2 linked regions of the Canis lupus familiaris genome follow. The main gene of each other region encodes a partner of the protein of the gene in region 2 in a complex. Links are inferred from orthologs where the notes say so. Each region holds a gene or a part of one and is shown on either strand. Other genes may lie near its edges.

Region 1 (2,766 bases), on a different chromosome or scaffold from region 2:
TATAACTATGTTGGCGCTAGGATTCAGGTAATTCCTGTCTTACTCTATAAAATAGAAAACTTTTCTTTGAAATTGTCTAAAGTTACTCTGTCCATTATAGTAGTCACTGAGCACATTTGGTTATTTAAGTTCAAATAAAATGAAAAATTCAGTTCCTCATTTGTACTGATCACATTTTTTACTTTATTTTGTTTAAAGATTTTTTATTAAGTAATCTCTACACCCAATGTGGAGCTTGAATTCACAGCCTTGAGATCAAGACTTGTATGCTCTACTGAGCCAGCCAGGCACCCCTGTACTGGTCACATTTTAAGTGCTCAGTAGCCACATGTGGACAGTACAGATACAGAACATTTCCATTGTTGCAGAAAGTTTTTTTGAACAGTGTCAGTCTAAAATATAACTTACTTTCATAAACCAGATTTAGTTGGGTTCTTAAAGAAGACCTATATAAGTTAGGTAGAGGTTGTTAGAACACAGGATAACTATAGTTTTTTTGTTCTTGTTGGAATGAATAACTACCAAACAGTGAAAAATGTGTCATGGCTTTTTATTCTCAAACTGAATATTTGGTTTTTAAGGATGAAGAAGATGATGATGATTACGTTGAAGAAGGGGAAGAAGAGGAAGAAGAGGGTGAGTTACATTATCTGCAAAAAATCCCAACATTAAAGTTATAGCTATTATTCACGTACTTTAAAGAATGAGTTTATAGTTCAAATTATTACTGATCTTTGATTTGATTTTGGTAACATAGAGCACTTTGAGGGATGTAAAACCTTTTTTTTTTTTTTTTTTTTTTTTTTTGAGAGAAAGAAAGAGCCTGAGTGATAATGGAGGTTGGCAGGAGAGAGAGAATCTTAAGCAGGCTCCAGGCTCAGTGTAGAGCCTGATGTGGGTCTCGATCTCAAGACCCTGAGATCATGACCTGAGCCGAAATCAAGAGTTGGACACTTAGCCCACTGAGCCTCTTAGGCACCCTGAGATGTAAAACCTTTCTTGAAAGAGTAATTTTCTCAAGGCATTTAATAATTTCATTTAAAAAAACCACCCAGCCTATAACATTTCTTTCTTTCTTTTTTTTTTTTTTTTTTAAAGATTTTATTTATTTATTCACGAGAAACAGAGAGAGACAGAGAGACAGAGAGAGAGAGGGGCAGAGACACAGGCAGAGGGAGAAGCAGTTTCCATGGAAGGAGCCCAATGCAGGACTCGATCCCGGGTCTCCAGGATCACACCCTGGGCCGAAGGCAGGCGCTAAACTGCTGAACCACCCAGGGATCCCCCCCACGCCTTTTCCCCTTTTTTCTTAAAGATTTTATTAACATTTATTTCTATAACCGGTATGAACAGAGATAAGAGAGAACCTTGAGCTTAATTTATTATTTTCTTAGGTCTTTCATTTTGAAGAAGGTGAAGCCATATATCTAAGAGAAGAGCTGTTTTATTTCCAGATTACAGCCTTTTCAGATTTGCTTTCTAGTACTCATTACCTAGGCCTTCCATAATAAGTTTAAAAATTTACTAATGATTCTCTTTTATTGACAAGCCCCTGGGTTCTTGATCTGTACTTCATGATTTGGCCACAAGGGTGCACAGCAAACTGTCATTGTTTATGGATTTCTAAATCTATTAAGTCTGTTCAGTACACTGAAGTTAAATTCAGAGAGGAAACAATGTATAATTTTTTATGCCAGTAAGTTTTCACTAAGATAGATTCAAAACTTTGTAATTTAGCAGATATTCATTTGGTAAAATTGAGTATTTTACTGGTTTTTTTCACTCTTTTTTCAGAAGAAGAAGGTCTTCGAGGGGAAAAAAGGAAACGAGATGCTGAAGATGATGGAGATGAAGAAGATGACTAGATCATTCTAAGACCAGATTCCCTAATGTTCCTGGGTGTGCAATAGAGTGATCACATCTTCTTTGTTTCTTCATGTACCATAGCGATCCCTACAGAAGATAACCTGTAACTTTTTATAGGAAAAGTGTGGTTTTACTATTTTTGCCTTATCATTCCAAATAAGATTTACTAGTCTGTTAATGATCATATTGTATGTAGAGAAAAAAATTTTCATTGACCCCATTGTGAAATTCTCTAGCAATTTATTTAGAATCTTCATTTTTCTCATTCAAGCTCACTGTATTAGTTATTTTTAGCCCATAATTAAAAACATGATCACTTTTACACAGGCGTAGTTTGGTGCATTTCATTTATAAGGTTTTAAAGTTATTTATAAGTTAACTGAAATCACAGTCGGCTGGAATATGAAATGAAAATAATCTCTTGACTGATAAGTTGGTTATATTTTTAGAGGTGACCCAGAGATCTCTAGCTTGAAGGCAATGACCTTTTGGGGGAGGGCTAAGGGTATTTGGGTGCTTTTTTGTCACATCAGTAACTTAGAAAGTAGGAAAATAGCAAAGGTTCTATTCAACAATATAGTTCATGGCTTTTGTGGAGGCTTCTGAAACCTTTTAAGCCAGGTGACTAATATTTTATTTTTGAAGGAAAATTGCTTATACTAAGTTCAGATTCATGCAGCTGAGCCTTTGTTTTTCAAGCTGAAGATCACAAAATATCAACGGTTGTTTATTTTGTTTTCAAGTGCACATTCTTTATTTTCCTCCCAGCTATTCCTTTATGATGACTTCCATTTCTTGTTTCACCCCCCGCCCTTTTTTTTAAAGATTTTATTTATTTATTCATGACAGACACAGAGAGGGGCAGAGACACAAGCAGGCTCCATGCAGGGAGCCTGACAT
Region 2 (4,146 bases):
GAAGTACCACGGCTTCAGGCGGTGCCGGCCCAGCTCGATACACTCAATGTTCTTCATCCGGGTGACAATGTCGTCGTGGCTGCGGTCAGACACCAAGCTGCCAGTCATGCGTGGAGCGGACGGTATTCCATCTGAGCTGTCCTGGGAATCCTGCCCAGGCCCAGTGGAAAACACCAGGTTACAGAAGACAGCTCAAGCAGGACACCCGACAGCTCACACAACCCTTACATAGCTTTCCTTATTTTCAAAGTGTAACAACAACTCTATGGCAGAGGAAGAAAAAGGCTGGTACTACATTGTATTCCCCACTTTCCAGATAAGGGAAGGGAAACTAGGTAAATTATCAATTGCACTTTGAAAAAGATCACCAATGACTGATCTGAATCAGCTTTGCCTGGCTCCTAATCCTGCCAAAAACCATCACTGCCTACCACCTCTTGTTTATTTTTTTAAGTTTACTTATTTATGTATTTTTAAAGTTTTTTTTTTTCTTTAAGATTTTATTTATTCATGAGACAGAGAGACAAGCAGAGACATAGGCAGAGGGAGAAGCAGGCTCCATGTAGGGAGCCCGACATGGGACTTGATGCCGGTCTCCAGGATCACACCCTGGGCTGAAGACAGTGCTAAACCGCTGAGCCACTCGGGCTGCCCTATTTTTAAAGATTTTATTTATTTATTCATGACAGACACAGAGAGAGAGAGGCAGACACACAGGCAGTGGGAGAAGCGGGCTCCATGCAGGGAACCCGACGTGGGACTCGATCCTGGGTCTCCAGGGTCATACCGCGGGATAAAGGCGGCGCCAAACCGCTGGGCCATCGGGACTGCCCGAGTTTATTTATTTTTTAATAATCTCCACCCAAGGTGGGGCTCGAACTCACAACCCCAAGATCGAGAGTGGCATACTCTTCTGACTCAGCCAGGTGCCCCTTCTTGTTTATTTTTAAACCCATCAGTAAACTCTCTGTGCTACCTATATTTCCTCCTTTTCACCTAGCTTCCCTCTTCCTCAGACCTACCTCGTCAGTGCCCAAGCAATTTGATTTTCGCTTCCGTCCTGGCTGAGCTGCCACTGCCCTACGGGCCGATCCATTCTGTAGGTAAAATAATGAGAACAAGAAAGGAGGGTTGTGAGAGGAGCCTGATCGGGGCTGCCAGAGAGTAGACAAGAGGAAGAAAAAAAGGGTTTGGGGGACTCACCTGGGGAAAAACTGAAGCTGGGGCTGTCTCGCTGGGCACTGGAGTTGCTGGTGAAACCACCTCCACCTTCCGTTTCTGTAGAGAGAAACCAAGAAAGGTGGGTCAGACGGTAGAGAAGGTGGGACCTCAGAGGAAAGCAAGGTCCCTGGAATTGCTGAGGGTACCGTTGAGCGGTGGTTGGGCTGCAGGCAGGAGCTGGAGGAGAGCGGCTGGTCAGGCTCGCCACCGGGAATGGCCTCCCGCTCCTTGGGCAGGTTGAAGCGGAGTGTGATCTGGACCGGGATTGGCAAGGTCTTCCCGCTGGCCTGGGCGGAGGCCGGCTGTAGAGATAGGTCCAGGGTCTTCCTCTAGGGTGGGGATGGTGGTGGGATGGGAAAGGGGAGTAGGGCCCCTCAGCATGATCAAGTCCCACCCTCTGCCCTCTCAAGGACACAGGAACAGCTACTGGACTCTGGAAGCTACAATTTGGCCCCCATCCTTTTGCAAGCTAAAGCCAGAGTAGAAGGGTGCAGACTTCTACCCATCCAAAAACCCCTGAGGCCAAGAGATGAGAAAAGTAGGAGGCAGGAGAGAAAAGGTGAAGCAGGGGACCTACTCACCACCTCTCTCTCTGGAGAGCCGGGGCGAGACCCAGGAAGTCCGTTCTTGGTGGGGGTCTTGGCCTCTTTCTTGGGGAACTGGATCTTCTTTAGGTCCAGCCGCTCGTGGGTCACCCATTCATCCAGGCGTTTGTTGACTGTAGCAGTGGGGATGGCTCAGGAAGGAATGCCAGAGACTGTTTCCCAACCCCTCCCCGCAGCCCTACCTCACCCAGCCCAGGACTCACAGTCAATGTAATGGACGTAGAAAAGCTTGCGGCCACTGATGTCCTTCACGCTCAGGATCTCGGCCAGGGCTGTGGAAACAACACAGGCAGGAGCCTTAGAGGAGCCAGGCGAGGAGAATTCACCCTCCTAAGACCTGATCTCCACCGTCAGGCCGATACCTAAGCCCCAGGACTTGGAGGCTTTCGCCCAAACCCCCTTCAATCACCAAGTGCCGCCCCCTTTCCAAGCCCCGCCCTACCCATTCGGAGCGGCAGAAGGCCACGCCCCTCCTGGGTATCGGCGCCCCGCCCGCCCCAGGATTATAGAGGCCCCACCCCCTCCCGAGGGTTCCGTTGACTCCCGCCCCTCGCCCTCAGGTTCCTTAACCCCGCCCCCCGACGTCACTCACGCCACTCATCTTCGTTGTCCTGGTTCCGCCGAAGCACGGGCAGGCGGCAGCCCTCGATTATCTCCCCCTGGGGAGACAGCGCGGCGCCAGGGTCGGCTACTGGGGGGCCTCGGGTTCTACCCACCTCCCCTGGCTCCCTCCGCCCCGCCCCGGGCACCGGACTCACCACCTCCGCCATCTTCCCTCCCTCCACTGCCACTTCCGGCCCCTCTGGGAGACGTCACTTCCGGGACTGAACGCGCTGTAGGCCCGTGCCTCCTTAAGCCGCTTTAGAAGAAGACTTTTGAGAGACACCGCGGCTACCCTGGAAGCAGGCAGCCGCGCCGTTTGGCTGGCGGGAGAGTGGGGCGTTTTAAGTTTCGGCCCGAGTCCTGGGCAGAATCCCCGAAACGCGCTCGATTGGCGGAAAGCTGAGTCCGTCACGTGACGCCCACCGGGTGCGACGCCGGTCACGTGGATGCGGCGCGGGTCACGTGCAACTAGGTTTGTGCTTCGAGGACGGCCCGGCTCGCGCGTCTCCTAGTGGCAGCAGGAGGCGTCGCCGGGAGCAGCTGCGCGTGGTTGGCCCCGGGGGCGGGGAGTTGGGGGAGGTGTCCTGGGGGGACTTGGGAAGCTGGAGAAGGGGGAGCACTGCAAACGGACCTTGTGCCTGGCGTTTTGTGGACTTCTTCCTTAGGGTTGGGATTCAAATACTCAGGCTTGTTTTGTATGTTTTTAATTTTAAAAATAATACTCATGCATACATTCAACAGATATTTGGTGATCTAGCATGTACCAGGCATTATTCTAGGAGCTTCTACTACACTAAATATAATAAGCCTGATCTCATGGAGCTTACAGTCTTGGGGATTGGGAGGAAAAAGGGGCATAGATAATAAGTGTATTTAAAATTAAATTACTTAGGGCAGCCCCGGTGGCGCAGCGGTATAGCGCCGCCTGCAGTCCAGGGCGTGATCCTGGAGGCCCTGAATCGAGTCCCGCGTCGGGCTCTCTGCATGGAGCCTGCTTCTCCCTCTGCCTGTATCTCTGCCTCTCTGTGTGTGTGTCTCTATGAATAAATAAATAAAATATTTTTAAAAAATAAAATTAAATTAAATTATTTAGTATATGAAGAAGTGATACATATTATGAAAACAACCCCCCTCCCCCAAAACAATGCAGGCCAAAGGAGATGGGTAGGTGGGTTGGTTGCAGTTTTAAATAGAGTGCTCAGGGCAAGCCTGACTGGAATGGAGTACTTGAGCAAAGCTTTAGAGGGCCGAAGGGATGAGCCATGCAGGTATCTGGGAGGAAACTGTCCCCAAAAAAACACCACAATAAAGGGGAGAAAAGTATAATCTCAGATCATCACAAGAAAATACCTGCAGTGAACGTTTTGTTTGATTGTCTTGGAGACCTGAGGTGGGCAAACTAAGCTGGTGGGCCAAATCCAGCCCTCTGCTGGTTTTTTTTTTAAAGCCAGTGGGATGGTTTTGTATTTGTTAATGGTTGTGGAAACATCGAAAATAATATTTTGTGATACATGAAAGTTATGTGTTCAAATACTCCTCATTTACATTTTATCTATGAAGCCTTCACATTAAGATTGGATGATTGTGCTTGGGATATGTCCCATAAAACCTAAATTTTTTACTCTCTGGTGCCTTGCAGAAAATGTTTGGCAACCTCTGCTTTATAGACTGTTGTGTTGTCTGTTCAGTACAAAAGGATATTCTTGATCGTGTATGT

Evidence for each region. Proteins that work in one complex are often made in the same cells at the same time.
Region 1: KAT5 (region 2) and ANP32E share a complex: the UniProt entries of both Homo sapiens proteins name them as parts of the SWR1-like complex. The link is inferred for Canis lupus familiaris from reciprocal best matches to the Homo sapiens genes KAT5 and ANP32E.

Annotation. Positions count from the first base shown.
Region 1 is NC_049238.1:60,119,385-60,122,150, reverse strand, and holds the end of ANP32E (acidic leucine-rich nuclear phosphoprotein 32 family member E), read left to right. Parts: intron 1-581; coding exon 582-636; intron 637-1,794; coding exon 1,795-1,865; 3' UTR 1,866-2,188; downstream 2,189-2,766. UniProt on the Homo sapiens protein: Histone chaperone that specifically mediates the genome-wide removal of histone H2A.Z/H2AZ1 from the nucleosome: removes H2A.Z/H2AZ1 from its normal sites of deposition, especially from enhancer and insulator regions.
Region 2 is NC_049239.1:52,006,298-52,010,443, forward strand, and holds the start of KAT5 (histone acetyltransferase KAT5), read right to left. Parts: upstream 2,841-4,146; 5' UTR 2,597-2,840; coding exon 2,419-2,596; intron 2,099-2,418; coding exon 2,030-2,098; intron 1,940-2,029; coding exon 1,803-1,939; intron 1,551-1,802; coding exon of another isoform or gene 1,524-1,550; coding exon 1,368-1,523; intron 1,279-1,367; coding exon 1,204-1,278; intron 1,098-1,203; coding exon 1,023-1,097; intron 151-1,022; coding exon 1-150. UniProt on the Homo sapiens protein: Catalytic subunit of the NuA4 histone acetyltransferase complex, a multiprotein complex involved in transcriptional activation of select genes principally by acetylation of nucleosomal histones H2A and H4.